Linked DNA regions of Elephas maximus indicus. The protein of the gene in region 2 purifies or fractionates together with the protein of the main gene of each other region. This does not show direct contact. Links are inferred from orthologs where the notes say so. Each region holds a gene or a part of one and is shown on either strand. Other genes may lie near its edges.

Evidence for each region.
Region 1: the proteins of gamma-interferon-inducible protein 16-like (region 2) and DCAF13 purify together in Homo sapiens (affinity purification with mass spectrometry; 3 studies listed by BioGRID and IntAct, with this or other methods). This does not show direct contact. The link is inferred for Elephas maximus indicus from reciprocal best matches to the Homo sapiens genes IFI16 and DCAF13.
Region 3: the proteins of gamma-interferon-inducible protein 16-like (region 2) and NOC2L purify together in Homo sapiens (affinity purification with mass spectrometry; 3 studies listed by BioGRID and IntAct, with this or other methods). This does not show direct contact. The link is inferred for Elephas maximus indicus from reciprocal best matches to the Homo sapiens genes IFI16 and NOC2L.
Region 4: the proteins of gamma-interferon-inducible protein 16-like (region 2) and BMS1 purify together in Homo sapiens (affinity purification with mass spectrometry; 3 studies listed by BioGRID and IntAct, with this or other methods). This does not show direct contact. The link is inferred for Elephas maximus indicus from reciprocal best matches to the Homo sapiens genes IFI16 and BMS1.

Annotation. Positions count from the first base shown.
Region 1 is NC_064833.1:38,648,774-38,656,740, forward strand, and holds the start of DCAF13 (DDB1- and CUL4-associated factor 13), read right to left. Parts: upstream 3,006-7,967; 5' UTR 2,857-3,005; coding exon 2,787-2,856; intron 1-2,786. Other genes in the region: SLC25A32 (mitochondrial folate transporter/carrier), read left to right, coding at 3,386-3,539. UniProt on the Homo sapiens protein: Part of the small subunit (SSU) processome, first precursor of the small eukaryotic ribosomal subunit.
Region 2 is NC_064821.1:197,360,138-197,367,035, reverse strand, and holds the start of gamma-interferon-inducible protein 16-like, read right to left. Parts: upstream 3,016-6,898; 5' UTR 2,739-3,015; intron 1-2,738.
Region 3 is NC_064821.1:39,530,280-39,538,048, reverse strand, and holds the start of NOC2L (nucleolar complex protein 2 homolog), read left to right. Parts: upstream 1-4,753; 5' UTR 4,754-4,781; coding exon 4,782-4,807; intron 4,808-4,957; coding exon 4,958-5,110; intron 5,111-6,477; coding exon 6,478-6,652; intron 6,653-6,744; coding exon 6,745-6,876; intron 6,877-7,436; coding exon 7,437-7,557; intron 7,558-7,652; coding exon 7,653-7,743; intron 7,744-7,769. Other genes in the region: KLHL17 (kelch-like protein 17), read right to left, coding at 473-686, 920-1,036, 1,307-1,528, 1,812-1,933, 2,020-2,279, 3,319-3,428.
Region 4 is NC_064826.1:133,906,369-133,913,614, forward strand, and holds the start of BMS1 (ribosome biogenesis protein BMS1 homolog), read right to left. Parts: upstream 3,012-7,246; 5' UTR 2,801-3,011; exon of another isoform or gene 2,749-2,800; intron 1-2,748. UniProt on the Homo sapiens protein: GTPase required for the synthesis of 40S ribosomal subunits and for processing of pre-ribosomal RNA (pre-rRNA) at sites A0, A1, and A2.

The DNA.
Region 1 (7,967 bases), on a different chromosome or scaffold from region 2:
AACTGAGGAACTTCTGCGTGAAAAAAGATTTCCATGGTCCTTTCTATCACTTGGAAACCCTGGTGGTGTGGTGGTTAAGTGCTACGGCTACTAACCAAAGCATCAGCAGTTCGAATCCGCCAGGCGCTCCTTGGAAACTCTATGGGGCAGTTCTGCTCTGTCGGAATCGACTCGACGGCACTGGGTTTGGTTCTATCGCTTTACAAATTACTGACAAAGGTTCTGTTACTTTAAGATAAAGCAAATCCCTGATAACGTAGTATGTTACAATATCCTAAAGATATAAGCCTTTGTCAACCTTTCCACTCTGCTTGGGATACCATTAGTACCATATATAATATGTGACTATTTAACCCAGAGGCACCTCAGAAGACAGACCTGGCAATCTGCTTCTGAAAGTCACGGCCTTGAAAAACCTATGAAGCAATTACACTCTGCACACGTGGGTTTGCCGTGAGTTGGAATCTACTTGACTGAAACTAATAACATTTACCACATGGCCCAAATGAGGATGTCAGTGCCAATCCAAATATCATACAAATTTCTTTTTTAAGATGAAGAATATGAACTGAAGTACTAATTATTCCCCCCCCCCCACACACCTCAATGAATAGCCTGCCTGCTATCGTTTGACCTATGCAATGAGTTTCAAGCTCCTTCTAGTCTTCTACAATCTGGGCTCAATCTACCTCTTCAGCCTGTCACTCACTCATTTATGCCTTCATTCAGACATTCATAAGGCAACTATTATGTGCCAAGTGCACATAAAACAACTATTATGTGCCAAATGTACATTTTTAAACACAGTGGTAGAAATAGGCATGATTCTTCTTCTCTCTGCAAGCACAGTCTAATGGGAGAGACTGATAATCAAAATAATTATCAGACAATGTGATAAATACTGATAGAAGTAGAGGCTGTCCCCGGGTTACAAATGAGATCCATTCCTAAGTCTGCCTTTAAGTTGAATTTGTAAGTAAGTCAGAACAAGTACAGACGATTTTTATTTAATGTCAGTTAGTGAAACGTTCGTCTTACTATACAGTATATGTTTTACCTTTTTATGCATATAAAGCACTGAAGAAACACTTCCAAACCATGCAATGTTTTCCTGAGTGCCACAAAGCAGTGCATGCATTTGTTATCACAAACCACTGCACTTAACTCAAATTTTTAATACAATAGGCTTTATGGCAGTCCATTCTTAAGTATGAATTGTCTGTAAGTCGGACGTTCCTAACCAGGAGACTGCCCATATACATATGTGAAGGGATGGCAGAAGAGGAGTGTAACAAGTGGCAGGAGATAAACATAGAAAGATTGTTTAGAGAAAGCTTCTCAGAGGAAGGGGCTGAGGTAAATAAGGGTGAGTGCCAGAAGTCTGAAAGAGAACACCAGGAAAGCATTCGGATAGACAGGAATTAAAGTCAGCTGTTGTTAGCTGCCATCCAGTCAATTCTGACTCATGGCAACCTCACGTGTGAGAGGAGAACTGCACTCCAGAGTTTTCAAGGCTGTGACTTTAGGGAAGCACAGTGACAGGCCTATCTTCCAAGACACCTTTGTGTGGGTTCAAGCCTCCAACCTTTCAATTACTAGTAGCCCAGGCTTAATCATTTGTGCCACCCAGGAATTCCAAAAGAAAGCTACTTGTGGAAAAGTAGTGACTGGTGAAACTGAAGAAGATGGGACCAGCAGTTCAAGGAGGGATGCTGCCAAGCCCTTAGAGAATTTTAAGCAGGAAGGTGACAGCCTAATTTTCATTTTAGAAACATTACTGTCTGATTACTTAATCTGTCAACATCTTGTGCGCAGAGGCTACATTTATATAGCAATGCTCATATATGTTGCTAATCTCTACTACTCAATCAAAATATTGACATATTGTTCCAGCCTCATGTTCTATCACTTATCCCTGATTAAACTCCGATCACATTGCCCTTAAGGCCTCTGCACTTGTTATTCCCTTCACTTGGAATTTTCTATTCATACATAGTTTGTTCCTTGGCATTTGGGTCTCACAAGCATGTTAATGGGAAACAGGACAGAATGGAAAAATAAAATTAATGTCATTTTGACCATTCCCTCATTACACTTCTTCAAAACAGTTGCTACTAAGAGAAAACCGGTGGCTTTAGGTTTCATCTTTGTCTCTTTCCACATCCACTCAAAACCAAAACCAAACCCAGGGCCGTCAAGTCGATTCCGACTCATAGCGATCCTATAGGACAGAGGAGAACTGCCTCATAGAGTTTCCAAGGAGCGCCTGGCGGATTCGAACTGCCGACCCTTTGGTTAGCAGCCATAGCATTTAACCACTACACCGCCAGGGTTTACATTCCAGTCATAGCATTTAACCCCTACACCGCCAGGGTTTACATTCCACATCCAGTAATAACTAATTTTAAGTAATAAAGCGGCCAGAAATCAGAGCAGTAGGGAGGTTTAGTGAAGCCTGTTTAACGCTTAAACCCTTCAATCCACGAGTGTGGCTCATTCAAGTTCCGCTTCTCAACAGAAATAAGAGCCCGAGAACAATTAGAGACCAACAGCTGGAAGAGTCCCCCCATATATACGTAAAAGCGTTCCACAGTTAACTCTTTCCCAGTTACCACTACAGAAAATTCTAAAAAAGGGCTTGAGGGGAAGTTATCTGCTAGTCAGTCCCACAGATGAACAAAGAAATGAGAATGGAGCACCAGCCTCCCCCCTGGCTTTACCCTGAGAAAACAGAGGCTACACCCCGGGGACTGGCGGTAAGCTTTCTCTCTACCAACTGGACTCACCTCTCTGTATGTCCAACTTAGTTTCGCGGACATAGTTGTCCGGGTTCCGGCTAAGCATCTTCACCTTCATATTGACGGCTCGTTCTCCCCAAATCCACGAGCCTTCGCCTCCCGGTTCCTGTTACCACCGCCTCCTCCGGCACATTCGACTTCCGCTTCTCCAAAACTACTTCCTGTCACATGACTTCAAGGAGCCTAAGCGCGCGGCTCAGCTGGGTCCTGAGGCGCTCCGTAGTTTCGCGGGCAAAGGTTAGCAGTGGGCGGTCCTTCAGCTGTTTGCTCTCACCCACGATCTTTACCCGGGGCTTGCAGCCTCCGGCGGTGAGGTGGGACGGGGTCTAGGCGGAGGCAGGCGTCCCGCCTCCCTTGCGTTCTCCGCCAGCGTCACGTGCAGCTGCGTCTCCTAATGCCCCATCTGCATCCGGGTCTCGGGGCTTTACTCTCGCGTCCCGGCGTCGGAGACCACGTGCCAGTCACGGAACTGGGCTCGCACCCCTCGGTTTCTGCTCCTGGCAGCTACCGTCGCCACGGTGGCAGCCACTGCGTATCGTCCCACGTCCGCGGCCCCGGGCGCCCTGGTGTCAGCGGGTCCAGAGCCTATGACGGGCCAGGGCCAGTCGGCGACTGGGTCCTCGGCGTGGAGCACGATATTCCGCCATGTCCGATACGAGAACCTGGTGGCGGGCGTGAGCGGTGGGGTGCTGTCCAATCTCGCGCTGCATCCCCTAGACCTCGTGAAAATACGTTTCGCAGGTAAGAACCTGCTTAGACCCCGGGCTCCTTCCCCTCGCTGTCATCCCCCATTCCTGGATTGCCCCCGACTCTTAGCTCCAGCGATTCATTTCTTCTCATCTTTCGGACTCGGAGTCCCTGACTGCGTTGTCCTTGCTGGACGGCGGACAAGGCGGGGATTGGGGAAGTGGGAGAGGTCTCTGACTGCACCATCATCTGAACCAATTGGTAAACACTCAAAAGAATGCCTTGGTCTGTTCTGCATTTTCCGTACTGTGAGGAGGAGAGCGTTGGAGAAGATGCTTTTGCTCTCTCTCACCTAGAACTAGATTTGAGGAGGAGGTAAAGGTGTGTGGCTGCTGTCTCTTCCACCACCACCCCCCCCCAAGATATGAAGTGTGAGTAGAAAACTCTGAGAAGAATCCTCATTGTGTAGAATGTGAGACTCAAAGCTTGATGTAAAGAAAGGATTGTCACATTTAAGGGCTTAGCCACCACCCCACACCGTGGAGGTACTTTGAAACACGTGTTCGGCAGCTCTGCTGAAAGGAAAATGCAGACACTTAGGGGTGGAGCATAACTCTCAGCGGGTTGTTGGGAGTAGGTTTAGGATGGAATTTTCTTGAAGGTTGATTGGTTTTTTTTTAGCGTTTATAATATGGTACAAGTTGCTGTGATGGAATTGGTAGCCGGGATCCAAATACTGTGGGTTTCCTTTTTTTTTTTTTAACTTATTGAGTTAATTGAGGTAAGTATATTGAAGTTAACAGCATTTTAGAAGTTAAAAAAACCCAACCATAAATTCTGGAAAAGATAGTTTCATGGATGATCTTTATAACTTTGTTTGGAAACTAATTTCTAGTATTCTTAATACAAATTAAGTTCTGCCTTGAGAATTAGACCTGCAGCAGTGGTTCATCATGAAGAGTTACATAATTCAATTTACCGGATAAGTACTGTTAGTATTTGTGGACTGCTGTATGGGACACACAAATACCTAATGAAGTTCTTGCTCTTAAGGAGCTTATAGTCTAATCGCAGGCTTGAAAGTTGGTCACATAAAACAGATAATGCTAGGTAAAATGAAATCAAGGGCAGAGTGGAATAAATCCAAATATCAAAATACTAGGATAGTAGACTATCAAGAAAATTATAGATTGTTGATGGTCATATTTATCTGTAAGCATTCTATAGAAGATTAGATCTTGAAGTTCCCCCATTAAAAGGACTAGCATTTTGGTAGCTGGAGAGGAGGCAAGAAGCTTTCTATAAAGGAAAATCAGCTAAAATTAGTGTCTTCCTAGAAAAAATCCTCCCCAAAGTCATATACTTCCATGGAGTTTATAGTGCATGCCCAGATAATAATTATGATGAGTAACATTCTGGTGGCGCAGTGGTTAAGCACTAGGCTGCTAACCAAAAGTTCAGCAGTTCAAACCTACCATCTGCTTCACAGGAGAAAAATGTGGCAGTAGGCTTCCATAAAGATTTACAGGCCTCGGAAACCCTATGGGGCAGTTCTGCTCCATCCTACAGGGTTGCTATGAGTTGGAATTGGCAGTGGTTTTGGGAACATTCGTTGAACGTTATTAGGAGCTAGAGAACGAACTAAGAGCTTTACCTGTATTATCTCATTTACTGCTCTCAATAATCTTGTGAATTCATTATCCCCATTGTACAGATGAGGATAACAGAAGTTAGCTAACTTACCTGAGTCACAAGTTTGTAAAAGATGAATCTGAGATTTTAACCCAGGAGACAATCTAACTGTAGAATTCTCTGGCACTTAATCACTGACCATACTACCTCTAGGAACCCCTGGTATACCACTGAACATGAAGAAAAGAATTTTAGACTTGGCTGCAGGTGCAGGCATGTATGAGTACGTGTCTCTCTCCAGCAGTGTTTTATATCCTAGGAGCAGAGGAGGTGACAGTTGAGATGATCATTGAGGAATAGGATGGTTAACCCTGTGAGTTTAAGGTAGTGCTAAGAAGCAGACCATACCTGAAGAAAGAATTCTTGGTGCCTGAGAAGACTGGTAATCTTGATGAAATGGGGAGAGCATTAGGAAATGAGTAGGGCTTAGGTGACAGGTAAGAGATTGAGACTGAACGAGAGGACTAAATTAAAGAATCGAAGCAGAGCTTTGTAGTAGGAGTCAAAGCAGAGCTTTGTAGTAATAAAGCCCACAGTGTGACTATGAATGGTGATAGAAAAAAGGAAAATACAGGAAGATGAGTAACTGAGATCAAAATAGTTGATTGGTTATCAGCATCAATATTGAAATGACCTACTGTAGTTTTTATGCTTTCATATAATTAAGCCCTTTTGATAAAATTGTAATACCTAGTGACCGGAGTTGTTAGTCCTGAATGTACCACTAAGCTAAACCTGGAGTTTTTCATTGAGTTCAGGTGCAAATTGGAACTCATTCAGAAGAAGGCATCCATGGCATTAGAAAGATTAGAGCTCATTTCATGGGAGAAAATGATCGGAGACACTAGTTTAACTTAAAGGGGAAAAACAAAAACCTTAAGATATTCAGAGAACTGCCATGTGGGACAGGGAGCTGCCTCATTGTGAGTGGATCCAAAAGGCAGTCTTAGGTTAGGTGGAAATTCCAGGGAAGCAGATTTTGGCCTGGCAAAGTTGTGGTGCTCAGAACTGAAACAGCTGCTTTGTGATGACAGGAAGTGCTTCAGACAGAGACTGGGTGACAGAAGTTAGAAGATACCCTTCTGTTGGGTGGGAAAGTTGAATTAGATGACTGCCGAGACCCTTTCTGACTTTAAAATGTAATTTTAAATCATCAGGAGTGATGAGAGAGCCCAAAAAAGGGGGAATAAAAATGATTATTTGCTAAAATAACCCAAAAGCTTAATATTCTGCTTGTTAAAGATGTGTATGACTTTTGATGAACAGTGGACAGAGAAACAAGTGTATACCTACCTGCTTTTACTGTGAGATATTAATCCCCGTTTTATAAATGAGGATGCTGAAGCTCAGAAGGGTTTAGACCATATAGCTAATTAGCGAAGTTAGATATCAAACCCTAGTGTACTTTAATCTCATTTGATGGTATAACACTGTCAGGTCAATGATTAAAGAAATTGACTTCTTCCCCTTTGCCAGTCAGTGGTTTTTCTCTCCCATGCTCCATTATATGCAGTAAAGTATTGGCAGTGAAAGTAAGGACAGTGAACTGATGTCTTAGTCATCTAGTGCTGCCATAACAGAAATACTACAAGTGGATGGCTTTAACAAACAAATTTATTTTCTCACAGTAAAGTAGGCTGAAAGTCCAAATTCAAGGCCTGAGCTCCAGGGGAGGCTTTCTCTCCCTGTTGCTCTGGAAGAATGCCCTTGTCCTCAATCTGCCCCTGGTCGAGGAGCTTCTCAGGCACAGGGACCCCAGGTCCAAAGGACGCGCTTTGCTCCTGGTGCTGCCTTCTTGGTTGTATGAGGTCCCCAACTCTCTGCTTGCTTCCCTTTTTATCTCTTGAGAGATAAAAGGTGATGCAGGCCACACCCCAGGGAAACTCCCTTTACATTGGATCAGGGGTGTGAGCTGGGTAAGGATGGTGTTAAAATCCCACCCTAGTCCTTTTTAACATAAAATTATAATCACAAAATGGAGGACAACCACAGAATGCTGGGAATCATGGCCTAAGCAAGTTGATACACACATTTTTGGGGGGACATAATTCAGTCCCTGACAACTGAGTATGCTTACATGTGGCTAATGGGACTGTATCTGGAGCTCAGTTTCAGTATGCATTTGTAACCTTAAATTTATACCCTTATTAATTCCCCTGCTAATAGCTAATTCAAGGACATAACAAGAATTATTATTAATAAGAATCTTATTAATAAGGATTAATAAGAATAGTTGTACAGAACATATTTTGAGTCTGTTTAATTATGAGGTGAATGCTCACAATATATTCTTATGGAAAAAAAGGAGTATACAAAATTATGTGTAGCAAAGTACCAATTTTTAAAAATATAACCTAGACTATACATTGGCATCTTTTTTAATTCCATGGTCCCTGTAAGAAACAGAAAGCACATTCAAAATAGGATAGTTATGGGGCATGAGAAAGGAGCCCTGGTGGTTCAGTGTTTAAGCGCTGGCTGCTAACCAAACAGTCAGCAGTTTGAATCCGTCAGCCATTCCACAGGAGAAAGAGGCGGCAGTCTCCTTTCATAAAGACTACAGCTTTGGACACCCTGTGCTGTGTCCTGTAGGGTCACTATGAGTCAGAATCAACAAGAGGTGTATGGGGCGGGCATGATGGTGGTTAATAAAACGAATATTTACAAAGGCATGAGCAAGTTGTAGGAAAACCCCAAGGAATAATGTAGTATCCTGGCACTATGGATTAGAAATATTGCAATGAAGGAGTGTTAGTCTCTGTCCTCACAGCAGAGCAGCCCCCTACGGGG
Region 2 (6,898 bases):
AAGCTAAGAAATTCTGCAGGGTCAAAGGTAGGCAAAAGTGAACAACTAACTTAAGTCTGTCAATGCCTTGTAAAGCAACAAACCCGGAACAAAGAGAAACAAAACAAGAACATGGTTGGGTGGAGAGAAGGAAACAAGTGGATAGCGTGTTTATTAAGTTACTTTTTCCTCATGGAGAAAATAGAGACAGGAAAGGAAAAAAAAAACAAAAACTGAAGAAGAAGGGGAAGGAAGCATAGAGTAAGTGTTACAAACTGAAATAAATTAGAATGGCAGAAACTATTTAAAAAAACAGCAATCAACAGAACAGATAATGGATTAAATCTGTTATGAGACAAAATTTTTCTAATTGGATTTTTAAAAAAAGCTTATATGTGGTAGACAAAAGGTCATTCAAAAGCTAAAAAAAAAAAGTTGGAAAACGTGTTATTATGCAAACAGTAATTCAGTGAGAGCACTTTGTATCAGAGAAGCTTTAAATAGACCTTAGGCCATAAGAGTAGCTTGTTTTGCTCTACAAAGAAAACTAGTAGAAGGTTATGCCCTTTTTCTCTAGAAGCTTTCAGATGATTGGCTTCCTTTCTGAGAGTCTTCAGTTTGGCTACATTGTGTCTTGTGGATTTTTTCTCCACTCTCCTAATTGGCACTGTATTGGCCTGATCTATCTGAGGTGGTTCACGTTAGTTTAATTCCAAAAACTTTATCCCATTATTTCTTCAAATATTTTTTTAATTTTGGTTTTCTCTCCTTTGGCAACTAAAATGATAAATGTCAAAGTCCCAGTAAAATATAATAGTTCTAAATATTCATTTCCTGTAAATAACAAAAGTATACTCTTTATTATTACTTTATATTAGTATAAAAAGTTTGTCTCTTCTCTAGCTCTTCTTTTTCCTACATTTATAGTCATATATTTATGTATATTTACAGAAAGTTGAAAATATACCAGAAAAAACTGACAGAATGGTAATCACATTTTGAAATTTCAGCTTATCTCAATTACAGAGCAGAGTAAAGAAACAGCAAATACTGAAAAAAAAATATTGATCAACACAATTGGCAAGCTTAAATAACAAGACTTTCTAACATTTGGGGAATTCTGAAACCAGTATTTCAAAACTTATAAAACTTATTCCTCTCAAACACAAATGAAATATTTTTTCCCAGGCTATACAGGAATTTTATATATAGGAATTCAGACATACATGCAATTTACCCTACCTAAAAAAAAAAAAAAAAAATTTTTTTTTTCCTCCCCTACAAACTCCCATCAACAAAGTTTATCTGTGACTTTGAAGAAAGCAGGGACTATCCCAAAAAGACAAACAATGCTTCTAACACTTGGTATAGAATGGAGCTAAAATAAAAGTTAAACATACTTATGAAAACATTAAGACACCATGTATTTTAATGACATGCTTGGGAAAATCAGAATTTTTTCTACTATGTATGTGTGTTTCCATGTTTTATAAAATTGGAATAATGCCATATAATGCAACTTTATGTCCAGATTTCTTTAAATTTAATATTACTTCATGATACTTTTCTCATGCCACTATCTTGTCTTTAACCTTGGCCCCCAACACTGCTACCAATTTTCCTCCTCGCCCTCCAGTGAAGAAAACCTAGCTCTCCTCTAAATATCAACTCACGTGCATGTATACCCAGGGAAATGATTCTAAACCTACTATACTCAAAATGCATTCCTCTTTCTTCAGTCTTCAGTTGTGGTAGAATAAAATAAGTCCATTGTTTGCCTAGATTAAAATAAAGCTATTGCCTTTTTTTACTTTTCTGAATATAGTTAATATCAGTACTTTTTCCCCTAGAAGACTCTCTGTAAGTAATCTCCCTTTGTGTGTTTGAAGTAGAGAAAATAGTATTTCTCCAGTGTTTTAATATTAGAGAGAATACATATTCTTGTTTGTTTTAGTATAGGTGCATAAGCTGTGATTCCTCTCTAGTCTTTAGAAAATGACACGGGTTCTGTTCAAGATATGGCTGAGCAGCCTGTTCCACTCTTAGTAAACACCCTAATACCTTATAACATGTTTTCTCCGATTCACAATGGGTGATTCAGAACTTGATATAACTAGCACCATAATGATGCTTTAAGTAATTTCTAAAAACATTTTTTTATTACACCATCTGCACCGGTCTCTTCCAAAGGGGTGCCGAGCTCTCTTAGCTCCTGTGGCCTTGGTCTCTCTTCTCTGTTCTCTTGAGAAATGGGCTTCAGCCTATAAGATGGCAGCTAGAAAAGATGCCTGACATTTTTAATCTACAACTGTCTTTCTTGCTCCCTATCTCAGCCAGAGTGGACTTGGCAGGAGAGTTCCACTAGCCGAGAGATTCTTATGTGATTTTTTTTTAAGCCTGTTACAAATATACTAATTAGAGTCCAGATGTCTCACAGGCATATCTTTAGTTTAATAAAGAGTTTCTTGTAGTTGTTTTGTGATGTATAAGACCATCTGTGGACTGCGTGATCAAAACATCAGGTAACCCTGACCTTTCCCCTGTAAAACTCTCCCACTAGCTCTTCAGAATTAGGCAGAATTTGGGTGATATTTAACCCCCTCTGTCTCTTGAATACCGATATTCAATAAAGCCCTCTTACTGCTTACCTCCCCTGTCTCAGTATTGGCTTTGCAGCAGGCAGCTTGAACCCGCGATTTGCGGTAACATGTTTACTAAGTAGGTCCCCAGATCTTCACAGAATTCCTCAGAGTACTCACCTCCCTGGAAACTTCTTCCACGGTAGTCCAGATCCTGAAATCTTTGTCAGAAATACAAGAATTACTGTATGTCTTCTAAGCTAGGAAATAAATCAGGAAAGCTCTCCAGAAGCTGAATGTAGGATGTTATAATCTCACAAAAAAGTGAAGAAACTGAACTATTTTGAAAGATAACGAGGAAAAATAGCACTAGTTACAGTCTCTTAAAAACATAGCTAGTTCTGGCTATCTCCTACTTCAGTAACTCCCAAGGGGAGAGAAGTTATTCATCTATGAAAAAATTTTGAAACTCCTCCCAACATGTTCTTAAGTTTCGATTTCCTCAGTCAGGACAAATGAAGTCTCTTTCCTGTAAACAACTTAGTTTCAGTATGAAAAACTAGTGCAAAGTTATGCTTTTTTTTTTTTTTAAACAGATACCAGTAGCTGAAAGGGGTGCCATTATCTGAACTTTTTATCTAGCAGGCTTACATATGGGTTAGTAGAAACCAAAGTCTCTTGAAGGAGGCTGAAATATAAAAGGAGAAAGTGAGGCAGCCAGTGAATTCTCCCTCCTTTCCTGTTCACACAGTGGTAGTGGCAGGAGAAGTTCTTAGAAGAGGAATCTGTGGCTACCAGTACTTGACTGCATCTCCTTAATGGAGGCCGATCAGCTATCAAGTTCGTTGTGGCTTCAATAGTAAGTGACACATTCTCACAGTAATTAGCAGCTGACAAACCTGGAGCCTAGCAGGGGTATAAAATCATTGTGAATATGTCAATTCTTCCTAGAGTATTTAGAAATGAATTGTGCACTAGTGGCCCTATTGATTATGACTTGCTGGTAGTTGCTGTTAAGTCAATTCCAACTCATGGCAACCCCATGTGTGCAGAGTAGAGCTGCTCCACAGGGTTCAATGTTGTGACTTTTCAGAAGCAGATTACCAGGCCTTACTGTTTGCACTGCCCAGGGGCTCCTTCTTGAGTATGACTAAACAACCCTATAGGACAGAGTAGAACTGCCCCATAGGGTTTCCAAGGAGCATGTGGTGGATTCAAACTGCTGACCTTTTGGTTAGCAGCGGTAGCTCTTAGCCTCTATGCCACCAGGGTTTTCTGACTCTGACTAGGATCCATTATTCTATGATTCAACTTCATGATTACTCTTGCCTTTCTGAATTTTTCCCCAAAACAAGTGAATAACAGGATCACATCGAAGCCTTGCAAATTCTGCGAGAGCATTGAGCCTCTGGGAGGGTTGAGGACCCGATTAACATTTTTTCTGCAATGCTTTTTTTTTTCCGTTGAGGATAATGGAGTCACTTTGGAGAACTTAAGGAGCCCCAGTGGCACAGTTGTTAAGCACAGTTCGAACCCACCAGGCACTCCACTCCACAGGAGAAAGATGTGGCAGTCAGTTTCAGAAATGAAATGATTACAGCCTTGGAAACCCTATGGGGAAGTTCTACTCTGTTCTATAGGATCACTATAAGTTGAAATTGACTCAATGATAATGGGTTATTTGGCTGGAGAACTTAAGTCCTGAGATGTCAAAAATGTAGCACTAATCAACAGATGGTATTGTGCTAACCCTCTAGTTGATCTGCAAGAGGGATGAGGTCATGACTGGAAAGAGGTTCTCAAAGTCCAGTTAAATTTGGTAGATGGCCTGAGGTTGTCTGAAGGGAAAAATAAAGCTAATTGGGTTAATCTAAACTACTATCATGGAGGACAGAGTTGAAGTTTGGATTTGGAAACTATCTGAATAAGCCAGAGGAAGTAGGCCATAGTGAAGCAAGCAGGATCTTGAGTGACTGCCAGAGCACCTATGGTGTTCATGATTCACTTTTATAGACCTTACTTTCCTGCCTGTGTGAATGCATTGAGCTGGTATTAAGGTAAAGGGTTGAGAGAGACATTAGGGAAAATCAATAGGGCCTCAACCCAGAGGTTAGGGGGTAGATGAAACAAGGCAGGAATGACCATGATTCAGAACATTTTCTTGTTTATTTTCTAGAAACTAACTTATGTAGAGTGCTACCCTGTGTTGGTACTCCAGCAGACAAACACAAATTATCAGTCCAAATGGAGCGAAGTCAGAGCAATGCTCCCAAAAGTATACTGCTAAGCTGGAATTTTAGTAGATGGACCAAATAAATGAGAAACAGGGGAGGGGGAAGGAGGCAGTCATCTAGACTTTCAGGTAAAAAACTTTCAGGTAGTGACCAATTAATTGGTGATTTGGGCCATCATACAGATAAAAAGAATTTATTTAGCCCTCAACCCTTCTAGAGGCTCTTCCATAATTTGCAAGACTTTATTGTTGTAATGATACGAGCTCATTACTTATAAGTAGGAAATGAGAGAATGCCTAATGTGGGAAAAAGATGTCTGGATATATCTGCGTGACCTGTTACCATCCTAAGTACTATTCCACTAGGACACCGAAAGTCCTCAGGAAAAGTCTCAATCAGCTTGATGTCCTAACTTATCAGTCTAGAAGATGCCAGAAGTATATTAAAGAGAAAAGCAAACAACAGAACAATTTCACAAAAAAAATAGCAATCAAACCCTTTAACGTCGTATTAGGCCCAGGGCTAAAAGATACAGTGGTAAGGTCTGTAGACTCAGAAAAAAAATGGAACGGGAAACCGTTTGAGGTATAGTCAAATTAAAAACCCTTCTCCGCTTTCTTATTCCTAAGGGCCAGAACAAAACCTGTTAGTGCGTGAGCCTGACCTGGCCGGGTTGATTTACTCATTTCTAGCCATCAGCCACCTTCACAATGGGCCTCTTTTTACCTTCTCAGGAAATTCAGTTTCTTTTTCAGGAGGAAATGGGTAAGATGATTGAGTTTTGAATGTTGAAACTAATCTTGTATTCTTGTGATAAAATACACTTTTTATGCTGTATTAAACTTTGTTGGAGCCCTGGTAGTGTAGTTGTTAAAGTGCTCGGCTGTTAACTGAAAGGTTGACAGTTCAAACCTACCAGTTGCTCCGCAGTAAAAAGATGTGTCTGTCAGCTTCTGTAAAGATCATAGCCTTGGAAACTCAATAGGGCAGTTCTACTCTGTCCTACAGGGTTGCTATGAGTCAGAATTGACTCAACGGTAGTGGTGGTTTTGGTTTGTTAACCTTTTTTACATATTGATGTATTTAATGTTTTAATATTTTGGCAAATCTTTTTGCACTTATGCTCATGAGGGTCATTGACTTTTAATTTTCTTCTAGTGTCTTTATCTGGTAACGGCATCAGGTAGTCCTGCCTGGTAATATTTCCAGGCAAATGAAAACTTCACACCCACTGTTGTTGTTAGGTTTTGTGGAGTTTCTTCTGACTCATAGCCACCCTGTGTGCAACAGAACGAAACATTGCCCAATCCTGTGCCATGCTCACAACCATTGCTATGCTTGAGCCCATCGTTGCTGCCCCTGTGTCATGCCATCTCCTTGAGAGTTTTCCTCTGTTTCACTGACCCTCTACCAATTATGATGTCCTCCAGGGACTGGTCCCTTCTAATCGTACTCACTTGGATGGCTATTATCAGAAAAATAGAAAATAGCATTCCCACCAGCAATGCACAAAGGTATTTCTTTCTGTAACAGTTTTAATAAATTGTGTTGTACAAGCAATTTGCCCATTTGGTTCTAAGTTATCAAATGTCATAAGTTTTTAATGATGTTTTACTATTCATTTAGTATCTGTAGAATCTGTACAATTATCCCCTTTTCATTTCTGATACTAGTTATTGGTGGTGTTTCCCTTTTACTTTTCTCGATTAGTCTTATCAGTGACTTACTGGGTCTGTTAATCTTTTTAAGAACCTACTCACTGTTCGTATTCTTTCCTTTTGTCTGCTTTGCTGTGCATTGGTTTTTGCTAATAATTTTGTTGTTTCTATATTTACTTATTGTTTGCTTTGCTCTCATTTTTTTCCAGTGTTGTAAGGTGGAAATTTATATCACTGATGCTATTCTTCAATTATATTTTCATATGTTTATTCAAAATAATAGTATTTTTTTACCTTAAGCCTCACTTTTTGCTATACTTTGTAAGTTTTGTATTGTGTGTTTTTATTGTTTGTAATATGACTTGGTATTCATTCTTTAAATTTTGGATTATTTTAAAATGCATTATATCATTTCAAAATATTTGGGAAATTTCTAGATACCTTATTG
Region 3 (7,769 bases), about 160 Mb from region 2:
ACAGGGATGTGGCCTGTGTAGGGGGATGTGGCAGTGACATAGTGAACGTGGAGGGAACACTGTAGGCAGAGAAGATGCTGCGGGCATGAGAATGTGGTAAGAATATACAAAAAGATAACAAACACGTGTGGGGACATGGTAGGCACATGCACAGGAAACAGATATGGGTTGGGGGCATGGAGGAAATATGAGGGAACATGGTAGGGATGTGGTGGGAACATAGTAAGCACAAGTGGGGATGTGGTGGTCACAGGAGGAAATATGCATTAGGAGATGTGGTGGAGACATGGCGGGTGTAAGCAGGGATGTGGTAAACGAGGGATGAAGATGAGATGAATACGTAGAAGGAACATTGTGGGCACATTTGGGGAGATGACAGGTGTAGGTGGTGACATGGTGGTCACAGAAGGATATGCTGCAGGTGTGGGGATGTAGTGTGGATGCAGCGGAGATGTGTTGGGCACGGGCGTACCCACAGCAAAGAGCACCGGGCCAGCGCCCTCACAGCGGCGCGGCCGCGTGCGGCTGGTTCCCAGGACGCCCCTCTGTTCCGGCAGCAGATGGAACTTGAGGGCCTCAATGAGCAGATCCTTGCAGTCCGGGTGATGCCGCACCAGGCCCTCTGCATCCACATGGCCCAGGAGGAAGTCGCGGCTCAGCAAGGGCAGCCGCACACACTTCATCAGCTGGGGTGGGGGGGGTGCCAGGTCAGGCAGGACCAGGGGACCCACATCTCGGTGCTTGGGTCCTCCTGAGAGCTCCCACATCCCTCCTCAGCCATGACACCACCCGGACACATGGGGGCTGGCATCAGGGGCCCTGATCATGGGACCCTCCCCATCTACAGGGTACTGGGCACACCTGGCTCTCAGCCACCTGTGTCCCTTCCCAGCCGGCAGAAGCCTAGGGCCAGCCTCACCCGAGGGACGTGCTGCCTCCGTGCGTCCACGTCGTGCTTGACCCAGCTCAGGACAGCGCGGTAGACGTCCTCCTCGGAGGGCACGTTCAGGCTGTCGCTGGAGACCAGCTCCAGCACCTGGGGGTGGGGTCTCAGGCTAGGCCAGGTTGGGGGAGGAGGTGGGGAGCCCTGAGGGTGCCCAGGACAGAGAATCTGCCCAGCCAGGGGCCCAGTGTTCCTGGGGGGGGGGTCAAGCAGGGCGTGGAGCCTCAGGTCCAGCTCCCCGGGGCCCACGGACTAGGGATGCAGGCAGAGATGGGGGTTGGGATAGGGCTGGAAGTCAAAGGGGAGGGTTTGGGCTTAGGGTGGGGTCTGAGGCTAGGGGTCAGGGCTGGCCGGTGGTGTTACCTGCTTCAGCGGCAGCAGCATGAACTCCTCAGTCTTGGCCACGTCCACGAAGTGCTGCAGCACGTACCTGTGGGCAGCCTTTAGCAGGTCGCTGCAGGAGTGTGTGTCGGCAAAGCCCCTGATGCCCAGGCAGTTGGATGGGTCAAGCTGACTCAGCAGGAACTTGCAGCATGCATCTCGGACGCCGTTCAGCTGCAGGAGACTGGCGGCTGGGAGCAGAGTCTGTGGGCACAGGAACAGGGAGAAGGTGAGAGAAAGGACTGGGAGGCCAGGGCCATGAGACAGGGGACAGAGTGGGAAGAGGGGCTTGGGCCACAGGCCAGGGGATGGGATGGAAGCGGGGACTGGGGCCACAAGACATGGGACGGGGGAGGTCAGGGCCACAGGACAGGGATGAGGGGAGACGGGGGGATGTGGGGAAAGGCACGGGGGGTACAAGAGGTACAAGGGGGACGTGGGGATTGGGACAAGGTATCTCAGCAACACAAAGGGCTAGTGACGTCACCTGCACGTTGCCCTCGCCCACCACGATTTCAGCCGTGTACGCAAACTGCACCAGCTGGTCCAGGGCCTGTGGGTCGATGTCATGCAGCGTCACATGCGTCTGACGGCTCTCGCTCATCTCATCTATGGGGACAGTGGATCAGGCCCGTCCTCTCCCTGGGAGACCTGCGGATGCCCCCCAGCCCCCAAACTATGGGCTGTGCACTTACTCGTGAACATGGCATGGAAGTAGGGGCTGCAGGAGGCCAGCACAACCTTGTGCGCTCGGATCTCCTTGGTGGCCACGTGCAGGACAATGTCACACAGAAGGCCACGCTGCCTCATGCGGCTCATGGCCACAAATGCATCATGATAGTGCCGCTTGGAGTTGTGGGCCACACTGTGGCCCTCGCGGCTCAGCAGCTGCATTGCCCCCTCCATAGGGGCCGCAGGCCAGGGCTGCCGGGGACGTGCTCGCTCTGCCTCAGGGCTGTGGGGGGTGGCTGGTCAGGGAGCTGCCCATGGCCTCGCCACGTCTGGGCAAAGCCCTCAGTGGCCCAAGCCTCAGTCAGCCCCTCACAACCCACCCTGCTCCCTTCCCCATCTCCCACCACCTCCCAGCCCTGTGTCAGGCCTGGCCCCTACCTGCCCAGCTCTGCTCTTCGTGTCCAGGAGCCTCCCTGGAGCCCAAGCAGGACCCTGCCTCACACCTTCTCTTGGCACACAGCCAAACCAAAGTCCCTCATGGACCTGGTGCCCTGATAGCTGAGCTACACAGCTCCCTCTGACCAGGTCCCATCTGGGCACCAGGCCTCCTTGGCCCAGAGTACCCTACAATAACCAGGCTCCCTTGATGCTCCTTGGGACTCTTTGTTCTCTGTTGGCCACCCTTTCCATCCCCATCAGCCCACGGTTCCCTCAGGATAGGAGTCTGTCCCCCTCCACACCGGCCAAGCGCACTGGGGATGCATGCAGGGTAAAGGTGGCCAGTGTTCCCTCAGCCACTCCCTGAACTGGACCCCTTCCACCCACACTGCACCCGCATCCTGCGCATGGGTTGCCTGAGTCTCCGTGTGCCGTGCCGCTGGGGTTCAAGGACAGCCAGGAGGCGACAGAGCCTCTGGGGATGGCCACTCAGGACGCCTGTCCAAACCCGCCCAGTTCGCGGATGAATGGAAGGGTGGGGGCTCAGGTGTGCCGATACCGGGTGTGAGAATCCGGTAGAGCGGAGAGAGCAGTGGTAGGATGGAGTGGGAGCAGTGGGAGATGCGGAACCTCCACAGAACCGGGTCTGCGGGCGCGGGGCCTCCAAAGTCGGGTCGGAGCCTTGGCTGGCACCGCCCCCCCCCCAGCCGGGCCTCGAGGACCGCGCCTGGGCACCCTCACGGCCACGCTGGTCCTCTCCCTCTTCCGCCGCCCTAGAGACTTCCTTTGGCCACTCCGGTGCCCTAGACCCTCAGTGTCCCCTCACGGCCACCCCCGTGCCCCTGGCCCGTCACGACCACCTCCCGGCCTCCCGAACCACTCACGCCGGCGGCTGCGGTGGAGGCGGCGGCGGCGGCGCCTCGGGCCCGGGCCCTGGGCTGCCGTGCTCTGGACTCTGTGTCCTGCCAGCCGGGCGCTCGCTGCGCGGCTGCATGGGCTCGGCCGTCGGACCCGCCGGACCTGCAGACGATCCAACCGACGCGCGGATGCTGGAGGACTGCTCGGCGGTGGCGGCTAGCTCCCCGCTTGCTTTCGCCGCCCGCCCGCAGCGCTCTGTTTCTCGGCGCCGCCCGCCCCGCCTTCCGGCTCCCCGGCCGCTTCGGAGACGCAACGTGGGACCCGGGTCATCCCGATGTCCTGGAGCAGGTGTCCTGCCTGCCACCTCCTCCTCCTTCAGGAGGTCCCCGGGCAGGACCTGAACCGACCAGGACCTCCTCCGGAGGCAACCCTGGACAGGCCCTGAGCCAGCTCACGGCCGTCCCCTCCTGCTAGCCCCTAGGCTTTCCAAATCCTTCTAAGTACCAGGCCTCGCTCTGGGCGCTGGCAGCCTGGGATGGAGAGGGCGTATGGGAGAGACCTGCCCTGGGCTTGACCTGCACACCCCCGGGCCTGTGAGCTAGCCCGTCGTGGGGTCTAGCACATCCGGGCGGCTCGCGTCTCTCCTTCTCTCCCTAGGGCCACTTTCGGTCCTCCGGGCCTTTGCATCTGCTGTTGGGGCAGACAAGGAAAAGAAAAAGCGGCCATTCCCGTCCAGCCCCGTCCAGCTGGGGCTCAAGTGGTTGAGGACGGGCGCGCGCTGTGGGCAGCCCACGGACCTGTCCTCCGCGCTGCATAGCACAGTCCGTCGGTCGCCTCCTGTGCCGCTGCACCAGGCGCCTCACACGGGCGTGGCCTGGCTTTAGGGCAGCATTTTTTGGTGATCTGTCTGTTTACTACACCGCCGTCTGTTTCCCTTGTTTTTCGTACGGGATCTCTGGATTTTCATTATTGATTTGTGAAAGCTCTTTGTATATTACCGCCTTTGCCGCACCTCTCCCGCCCCGGGTGTCACTCATCGACGCGCAGCACTCGGGGGCAGGTGCTTCCGGAGCCCTGGGCAGGCGGCTGGGGGGGGAAGGTGGGCGCCCGGGCTGTCGACCCGGGGACGGCACCACCGTTACCGCCTCTGACAGAGTTGTGAGAGGCACGTTAGGGTTCGACCCAGGCGGTCCGGCGGTCTGAGGCCCCGCAACCCGCACTAAACGGATGCGTGCGTGTGCGGAGACTGAACCGCGTCCCCGGGCGACCCCGGAGAGTCCCAGCCCCTTGCCGCGAGACCGACTGGATCAGGGAAGCGAATGTGCCCGCCTGCCTCTAGCCCGCCGGCGCCAAGGTCGGAGAACCTCAGAGTCAATCACGGGGCGGGGCGGGGCGGGGCGGAGTCTGGGGGCGGGGTGGGAGGGAGGAAGTGCGGCAACGCATTGCATTCTGGGCCCGGAAGCGGGGTACACGCTGCGGGTTAGCTGTCATGGCGGCGGCACTGAGTCGGAAAAGGTGAGTTTGAGCGGCCGAGGGCCTGTCGGGCTACCGGCGGCTGCGGGTATCCAAAGGGGTTCTCCTCGCCCCTGTCCGTGCTCCTGGGGCAACGGGGCTGGGGCGAGCCGGGATGGTGGACGGCTGTGACTGCGACGTCGTGACCCACAGGCGCCTGGAGGAGCTGACGGTGGATGAGTTCCTAGCCTCGGGCTTTGATTCCGACTCCGAATCGGAGCCCGAGGGCGCCCCCGGAGCGGAGGCGCGGACGGTGCACGGAGCTGCCCGGAATCCGCATGGGCCAGGCGGGAGCTCCTCTGCCAGGTGAGCGCGGCGCCTCCCACTGAACGTGCGTAGGGACCTCTTCGCCCAGATCCGCCTCGCCTCTGGGATGCTAACCTCCGCTGGGTCCTCGGGGCTGAGGCCCAGGGGCCTCTGATTCCTATCCTAAATTTTTTTAGTTTTTTGTGTTATTGTTTAGTATATGTTGTTTTTGCGTACTTTGTTAAGTTGTATTTTGAGTGGACGATATACGCTATTGTACTGTACAAAGATTCTGGTTTTCGGTATTTTTTTTTTAGTTTTAAGATGGGCTAATTCATAGTGTGTTAGGAGAAAGAAGTGTTTTGGAGTGAAAGAAATAAAGAGAAGGGTTTAGAGTAATTAAAGGGAGGTTGGGAAGAGGAGTCACGTTGTTTTAAATGAAAAAGGTAATTTGACGACAAGATAGATTGACACAGTGACTGTAACAAAGGGCCGAAGTATAACAACGGTTGTGAAGATGGCACAGGACCGGGGTGTGTTCCATTTTGTTGTACAGAAGGTCGCTGTGAGTCAGAACTGACTCGATAGCAGGTAATGACAATGATATTTTAGAAGGTGATGTTTAAACACAGACTTGAATGAGTAAGTTTTGTAGGCAGAAGGAAAAGAGTCTTAGTGTTTTAGGTGGAGGGAACAGCAACGGCCCTGAAATAGGAGTGTGTTTTATATGTTTGAGGACAGCGAGGGGTGAATGTAGCAGAGGGAGTGAGAGGGAGAGTAGTAGAAATGAGACCCGAGAAGTGACAAGGGGCCAGATCTTAGGCTATTGTCAGGCCTGCCGGTAAAATAGGAAGTTATTTTGGGGTTTTGAGCAGAAAAGTAACATCACGTAACATGTAGCACCAGGGTTCCTTGGGTGCTGTCCTGGGAGTGGAAGCAGGGAAACCAGCTTGGAGGCTGCTGTAGTAGCTGAGGAGTGCTGGTGGTTGAGTTAGGGTGAGGACAGAGCAGGTGCAAGAGAGAGACTTAAGGACAGCCCAGGCGTTTTCACCGGACCACCTGGAGGGACAAAGTTAACAACAGTTGAAGTAGAGTAGAGTCCAGGCAGAATGAATTCAGGGAGACCATGAGTTCAGGACACGAGCGTGTGGGTTGAATACGGCGTCAGAGTGCACGTGCGGAGGTGTTGAAAGGCCACTGGATGTGTGATTCTGGAGTTCTGGAGACAGACAGGTCAGCTGAACTCTTCCTGGCTTTGTATCCCTGGAAGTAGCCCTTCTCTCGGGTTGTCTGTAGCTGCTGTGAGGGAACAAACAGACCTACCCCTGTAATTTCTCAGGAGACCAGCAAGCAGGCAGTGTGGTAGGGACAGGAAGCCCCGCAACTGGCTCTGCCTACCCACTGGGGTTGCTGACCTGTCTTCTTAGCCGGCGGAAAGGCTGTGCCTCTGAGCACAAGGACCAGCTGTCTCGGCTGAAGGACAAGGACCCGGAGTTCTACAAGTTCCTGCAGGAGAACGACCAGAGCCTGCTGAACTTCAGCGAGTCGGACAGTTCTGAGGATGAAGAGGAGCAGTTGCACTCCCTGCCCAACATGCTGGAGGTGAGGGGGCCAGGCAGAACTGGGCGGGCGGGGGGGGAGTCACCTGTGGTCGTTATGCCCTGCCCTACCTTGGCTCTTCTGTGTCTGTGCAGGAAGCAAGTGAGGAGGAAGAGGAGGATGGAGCAGGGGCTGGGGACAAAGTCCCCAGGGGACTGCAGGGGAAGAGGAAGGATTCGGTCCCTGTGACCCTCGCCATGGTTGAACAGTGGAAACAGGCAACGAAGGTGAGAAGTGGCGTGTGGACTAGGCCCTCTTCCCAGAGGCAGGAGTCTGCACTCGACTCCCCTCGTCAGAGGTGCCCAGTGCTGCACAGGCATCGTCTTGGGAGGACTCCTCCCTGAGGCACGGGGCAGCTCCAGCATTCCTCCTGTGTGCCAGGCAGCTCCAGGACTGTGTTTTCCCACTTGGCCTGTCCCTTCCTCTCCAGGGCTGCCTTTTCTGTCTCCTCTCGGGTTTCTGCTGCCTAAAGTTTACTGAGGGTGGGACCTGGTCTCTCTGCCTTGTCGGTCTGGGAAGTGTAGGTCCTTATGAGGGGTTCATGGTGGTCTCTGTGAGGAGACGTTGGGAAGAGAAAACCGCCCTTACCACCTGGGAGCCTGCTGTAGTCCAGGAGCCGGCATTCGAGGCCCCTGTCCTATTGAAGGGTCCTGGACTGTGGCTCAGCAACCCCGGCCCCCACCCCGCCCCTGCATCTGAGATTGTGGCTGGGCCACGGTGCCTTTCTGAGAGCAGTTCTGTCACTTTGCGTGCCTCCCTGGGTTCTCTCTCTCTTTCGCCTTTCCAGCAGCACCTCACGCCGAAGCTGTTGCATGAGATTGTTCAGGGGTTCCGAGCGGCTGTGGCCACCACCCAAGGAGACCAGGAGGGTGCCGAGGCTGGCAGGTTCCAGGTCACGGACAGCGCAGGTGAGCCTGGTGAGGGGCCCGGGACCCAGGCTCTCCATGTGTATCCTCTCCCAAGAGTAGACCCCAGTGGCCTCTGTGTTCACCCTGTCCTGTAGTGTTCAATGCTGTGGTGACCTTTTGCATCAGAGACCTCCTGGGCTGCCTCCAGAAGCTGCTGTTTGGCAAGGCCCGAAAGGACGGCACCAGGTGAGGAGGTTGGCAGTCCTTCTGGA
Region 4 (7,246 bases), on a different chromosome or scaffold from region 2:
CTACCTTAAACTATTTTTCAAAATTTACTAAAAAAATTAAAAAATGTTAATGACTCTCTAGCATTACAGATCCCTGGGTGGCGCAAATGGTTTGCACTTGACTACTAACCTAAAGTTTAACCACTTGAACCCACCCCAGGCATCACAGAAGAAAGTCCTGGCAATCTGCTTCCTTAAAGATTATAGCCAAGACACGAAGTCAAAAAAACAGAAAATAAATGTTGGAGAGGCTGTGGGGAGACTGGAACTCTTATGCACTGCTGCTGGGAATGCAAAATGGTACAGCCATTTTAGAAAACAGTACAGCGCTTCCTTAAAAAGCTAGAAATAGAAATACCATATGACCCAGCAATCCCACTCCAGGAATATATTCTAGAAAAATAAGAGCCCTCACACAAATAGACATGCACACCCATGTTCACTGCAGCACTGTTCACAACAGCAAAAAGATGGAAACAACCTAGGTATCCATCAAGACATGAATGGACAAACCAACTATGGTACATACACACAATGGAATACTACGCGAGGATGAAGAACAATGATGACTCTGTGAAGCACCTCAAAACACTGATGAATCCGGAGGGTATTACGCTGAGTGAAATAAGTCAATTACAAAAGGACAAATATTGTACGAGACCACTACTATAAAAACTCATGAAAAAGTTTACACACAAAAAGAAACAATCTTTGATGGTTGTGAGGGAGGGGAATGATGCAGAGAGAAAAACACTAAATAGACAATACATAAGTGATAACTTTGGTGAAGGGTAAGACAGTATACAATACTGGGGAAGCCAGCACAACTTGCCCAAGGCAAGGTCATGGAAGCTCCACAGACACATTCAAACTCCTTGAGGGGACAAATTACTGAGCTGAGGGCTGTGGGGACCATGTTCTCTGGGGACATCTAGCTCAGTTGGCATAACGTAGTTTATAAAGAAAACGTTCTACATTCTACTTTGGTGAGTAGCATCTGGGTTCTTAAAAGCTTGTGAGCAGCCATCTAAGATACTTCACTGGTCTCATCCAGTCTGGCGCAAGGGAGAATGAAGAAAACCAAAGACACGAGACAAAGATTAGTCCAAAGGACTAATGGACCACAAGTACCACAGCCTCCACCAGACTGAATCCAGTACAACTAGATAGTGCCTCCTCGCTACCACCACTGACTGCTCTGACAGGGATCACAATAGAGGGTCCCGGACAGAGCTGGAGAAAAATGTAGAACAAAATTCTAACTCACAAAAAAAAAAGAGAGACCAGACTTACTGGCCTGACAGAGACTGAAGAAACCCCAAGAGTATGGCCCCCTACCCTTACAGCTCAGTAATGAAGTCACTCCTGAGGTTCACCCTTCAGCCAAAGATTAAAAACCCACTGCTGTCGGGTTGATTCCAAAGATTAGGCAGGCCCATAAAACAAAACAAGACTAAATGGGCACACCAGCCCAGGCGCAAGGCAAGAAGTCAGGAGGGAACAGAAAAGCTGGTAATGGGGAACCCAAGGTCGAGAAGGAAAGCGTGTTGACATGTTGTGGGGTTGGCAACCAATGTCACAAAAACATTATTGTATTAATTATTTAATGAGAAACTAGTTTGTTCTGTAAAACTTCATCTAAAGTACAATAAAAATAAATATGATTTAGAAAGATTAAAAAAAAAGATCACAGCCAAGAAAACCCTATAGAGCAGTTCTACTTTGTAACACATGGGATCGTCATGAGTCAAAATCGACTCAAAGGTAATGGGTTATGATGTCCTAAGCACTGTACCAGGAGACAGCTACAGATACAGTCTGACCGGTAGAGGAAATACACACTGATCTCATCTGTGCCAATCAGAAACTGCCACTTCAGAAGGCTGCACTGGTTGCAATTAGCACATATAGGTCAGCGGCTTCTCACAGACACACAGACAGTTCTTACGTCCTAAGTAGGAGCCCTGATGGCCCACTGGTTAAGTGATATGGCTGCTAACCAAAAGGTCGGCAGTTCAAATCTACCAGCTGCTCCTTGGAAACCCTATGAGGCAATTCTACCCTGTCCTATAGGATGGCTATGAGTCAGAATCGACTCAAAGACAGCTGGTTTGGTCTTCTGTTTTTTACATCTCTGAGTAGTGCAAAAAGTTAATGTGTTTGGCTGCTAACCGAAAGGTTGGAGGTTCCAGTCCACTGGGGCACCTTGGAACAAAGGTCTGTGGATCTACTTCTGAAAAAATCAGCCACTAAAAACCCTATTGAGCACAGTTCTACTCTGAAACACATGGGGTCGCCGTAAGTAAGGATCCACTCTAGGATAACTAGTTTTTTACATCTTAGGATAACGTCAAGGAACACTGGCCCGGGATGTAGAAAAACTGGGTTCAAAGAACGCTGTTAAACTAGTCACTGGCGACTTTAAGAGATTATTTTCTTCTCTTTTATATTTTGGTTCTCAACTTGTACTGGTGACTTTCTTCGTGGGAAAAGCACAATTTGGAGCCCACCAATCTAGCTCAGGTCTACCGTCACCTGCTCGGAATGCCCCCTCTCCCCCGCCGGGAAGTGACCTCTCCACTTCCCCCTCCCGCCACTTCCCCCTCGCGTCTGGACTCAGCATAAATTCACTCTGCCATTCGCCCAAGACCTCGAAGCACTTCTCCGGCATGAACGAAACGTGCGTCAGTCCGAGCTACGAGGGGATCCTCAAAAGGAAAGACTGTGCGGGAGGACCGAAGGAGGATCTTAACCCGGTGGGCGACTCACCAATCCTCCCAGAGAGCCCCAGGGCCCAGGTTCCGCCAACCGCAGCGTTTACCTGGTTCACAACAGCTAGAGCTCCTCAGGCACGCATGGACACGGACGGAAACGGAAATAAACCCTACGCACTGCCTCTATACCCCGGCGGGAAACAAGGAAGCAGAAGAAGGACTCCGGCGGAGAGACGACTTTCAGGGGAAAGCCAAGAATAAGACCCGCGATTGGTTGAGGGTGGCCGCAAGCGACTTCTCCATGGCATGTTCCACCCGGTGCCCCGCCCGCCCCCCGCTCCGCGCCGCGCCGCGCCGCTCCGCACCGCCCACCTAGCCGCCCGCCCCGCCCCGCCCGCCTTGCCGCCCCGCCCGCCCCGCCTTGCCGCCCCGCCCCGCCCCGCCTCCCAGCGGTGCCGTGCCTAGTCTCTGTTCTCATCAGAGGGGGTCGCTGGGCAGTGGAGGCGGGGCGCCAGCGTCTTTACACTAACTTGGAGCCTACGCCGCGCCCGGCTTATCCCCGCCAAAGGCAATGTCGACAGTGCGGCCGTTCCTTAGTGCGGTACAGAAAACCGAAATGAACACGTTTAGCCTTTGTCACCCCAGACCTACCATGTCCCGCACTCGCATAATGGGATATCCCAAGATTGAGTGTCAGAAAACAAGGGCTCTAGTCTTCGATTAGAAACCCTGATGGCACAGTGGTTAAGTGCTACGCTGCTGACCAAAATGTTGGCAACTCGATGGGGCAGTTCTTCTCTGACTTACAGGGTCGCTATGAGTTGGAATCCGCTCCACGGCAATGGGTTTAGTCTTGGATTCCGCAGCATCAGCTCTGGGGCCAACAGCAGGCCCACTCTTGTTCCTCCACTTGCTCACCTTGTATTACTTAGATGGGAAAATCCCCAATACGTTCTTTGAGACATAGCAACACAGATTATGCCTCTCATGTACACGAAGTTAAGGCCGAGCCTTAAACAGCTTTGCCTTAGAATCTTGTTTCCTTTGCTTGGCGTCCCCCTCACCCCGCCCCGCCACACATTAGAATCCCTTCTTGGCCTAGTGGTGCATGAAGTAAGCCCCACTGCGCCCGCGTAGTATGATTAAGAATGTTTCTGATGTAACTTGTATGAAGTCCCTACTTGTAAACCCCTTAAAACTAACGTTTCCCCTTGCCCTTCTGAAGCAGTCTTGGCAGCAACAGCTCTGACTGACTCCTGTCTTTGCCCAACGAAATTAAGGTGCCAGGAAACCCTGGTGGCTAGTGGTTAAGAGCTACAGCTGCTAACCAAAGGGTTGGTAGTTCAAATCCACCAGGCGCTCCTTGAAAACTCTATGAGGCAGTTCTACTCTGTCCTATGGTGTCCCTGGGAGTGGCAATCGACTTGACAGGAAACAGGTTTTTTCTGCCTTCCCTTCTCGCTTTCTCACTTAGTGGCCAGTTCCAGTCACACCAAGCAGAACCTGGGGTTTCCACCTGGTAACAAAGTCAAGAAAGTTACCCTCGTTTTCAAAATACATTATAGCAAGGACAGGGAAGTTCACAGTAAGTTCTTTGAGAAAACAGATTTTCCATTCAAGTGCATGACTTCAAGGGCATTATCCTCATTTACAACATGCATTGTGTGTGACAGGGACATGAAATTTCCCCATATATTCTTTGATTAGAAAGCACTACACAGATTCTCCCATTCATTTCCGGGTTTTCAAAGCAAATCTTTTATTACAAGGGTGAAAAAGTTTCCAGCACATTCTTTGACTGAATAAACACTACATGCGTTTGCTCATGAAATATGAACTCCAGAGAATTACCCTGTTCTCTGAAGTGCATTATGTGTAAAAAGGACAGGCACGTTCACAACACATTCTTTGAGAAAACTTTGCACAGATTTTCCATTCGAGTACCTGAAGTCATGAGGATTATCCTGGTTTTCAAAGTACACCCTGTGTAACTAAAACATGCACTTACACAGTGTATCCTTGTTACAACACTCAAAGTTTCTTCACTGAAGCACATGAATTCAACAGAGTTATCTCGGTTTTCAAAGCACATCGTGTATGACGCAGAAAACCTTTGCTGTTGAGTGCTTCTGACTCATAGCAACCCTATAAGACAGAGCAGAACTGTCCCCTAGGATTTCCAAGGAACGGCTGGTGGATTGGACATGTGGACCTTCTGGTTAGCAGACAAATACTAAACCACTGTGCCACCAGAGACCGTCTTGCATAACAAGGACATTAAATTTCTCCATACATTCTTTGAATAAGAAAACATACATGGATTATTCCATTCAAATAAATGAAGCCAATACAGGTTTTCAAAGTACATTTTGTTTTGCAAGGATGTGAAAGCTCCCAACTCATTTTTTGACTGACACACTACTACACATATTCTCCCATGCAAGTACATGAAGTCAAGAGAGTTATCTTACTTTGCAAATTACACCTTGCCTTAATTTTTTAAACAAGCAAAGTTCCTAATACATTCATTGACTGAAAAAACACTGTACAGTTTTACCAATTCAAATATATGTAATGAAGAAAGTTGCCTAGCCCTAGAACAAATCCTAACCTTAACTTTAACGGTAACCCTAACCCTAATACTATCTCTACCACAAGCATTAATCGGACCCCTATAGCTTTTTTTTTTTATATAGCTAACCAAAGAACTAACACTAACCCTAAACCTAGCTCTAGGCATAGCCCTAATCTTACCCCTAAACCTATCCCTAACCTAATCCTAAACCTAAGTGTAAAACAAACCCTAACCATATACTTGATCCTAGCCCTAGCCCTAAAATTTACCTTAAACACAGAATTTGCCCTAACCCCAATTCAATTCCTAAACCTAAACCATACCCAAACTCTAGTCCTAACCCAAACCCTAACTCTAACCCAAACCCTAATCCTAACCTTAACCCTAACCTTAACCCTAGCCCTAGCCCTAGCCATGGCCCATAAACCAGACCTTAACTGTAACCATAACACTAGCCCTAGCACTAGACCTATTACTACCCCTAAATCTAAAATTAGATGTAACCCTAACCCTAGCCATAGCAGTAGCCTTAATACTACCAATAAAACTGAGCTTAATCCTAATTCTAAATAATCCTAAACCTAGCCCTAGCCCTAACCCTGACATTAACTCCAGCTGTGGCCCTTGTCTGAACACTAACACTAACTAAAGATAACCCTACTCAGAACTCTAACCAAAACTCAACCCTAACTGTAGCCCTAGCCCTAAATCTACCAGTAAACCTGTAACAAACCCTAACACTAACCATAACCCTAATACTAACCCTAGATCAAGCCCTAGCTCTAGTCCTAGCCAAACCCTGAACATGAATATTCATCCAGACCTCCAACCCTAACTCTAATTATACCCATAAACCTAACCTGTGCCCTAAACCTAGCTCTAATCCTAACTCTATCCCTAAAACTAACACTAATTCTAAACTTAACACTAACCCTTAGTCTAAGCCCCAGACCTAGTCTTGGCCCAATTCCTAACCCTAACCCTACCCTCACAGTAGCCCAAGTCCTAGCCCTAATTCTAACCCTAAACCTAACCCTAGACCTAATCCTAACCCTAAACCAGTCCTAGCCCTAATGCTAACCCAAAGTTTAACTTTACACTAGCCCGGGCGGTAGCCCTAATTCTACTTCTAAACCTAACCTTAGTTCTAACTCTAAGTCTAGCCATAGATATAACTCAAACTCTAGCCCTAGCAGTAGTCCTATTGCTCCCTTAAATATTACTTTAACTCTAGCCATAAACTTAACACTACCCTAGTCCTAACCATAACCCTAACCTAACCCTAGTCCTAAACCCTAAACCTGCCCCTAATGAAAATCCCGACCCCTAAAATAAAACTTGATTCTACCCATAAACCTAACCCACATCCAAACTGTAGCCCGGGTCCAAATCTTAACTCTAACCCTAACACTAAACCTAATTCTAAACCCTAACTCTAACACTGAACTTAACTTTAGTCATAGCATGAACCTTATCCCTAACTTTAACCATAACCCAAACCTTAACACCTAACACTAACACAAACCCTAACCATAACCCTAATCCTAACCCTAGCTCTAGCTCTAAATATATCACTAAACCTAACTTTAAACCTAACCGTAAACCTAACACTAACCCTAGTCCTAGCCCAAACCTTAGAACCGATAAGTTAAATTTAAACTTACAGCATTTTTATTGTGTACAATATAATGTCCTCTGTGCCTGTTTGGCACCTTATAATAGAGGCAGATTGCCCCCAATACCTCTGGTTCTTATTATCAAACTTAAGTTTACTTGTATACAAAATAGCCACAAGAAGTAGGATTCTGTAAGGAATCCTCTTTAGCTGTGGCCTGGCTCTCTCTCTCTCTCTCTATGGTGCTTTATTTAACAGAATACCTGTGGACAAAATAAAGCACACTCAAAGTAAAAATAATTATTTTGTTTTTAGTGACACGACTGGCTACTATTCTGTGCACTTAATTAAACTGATTGTGAT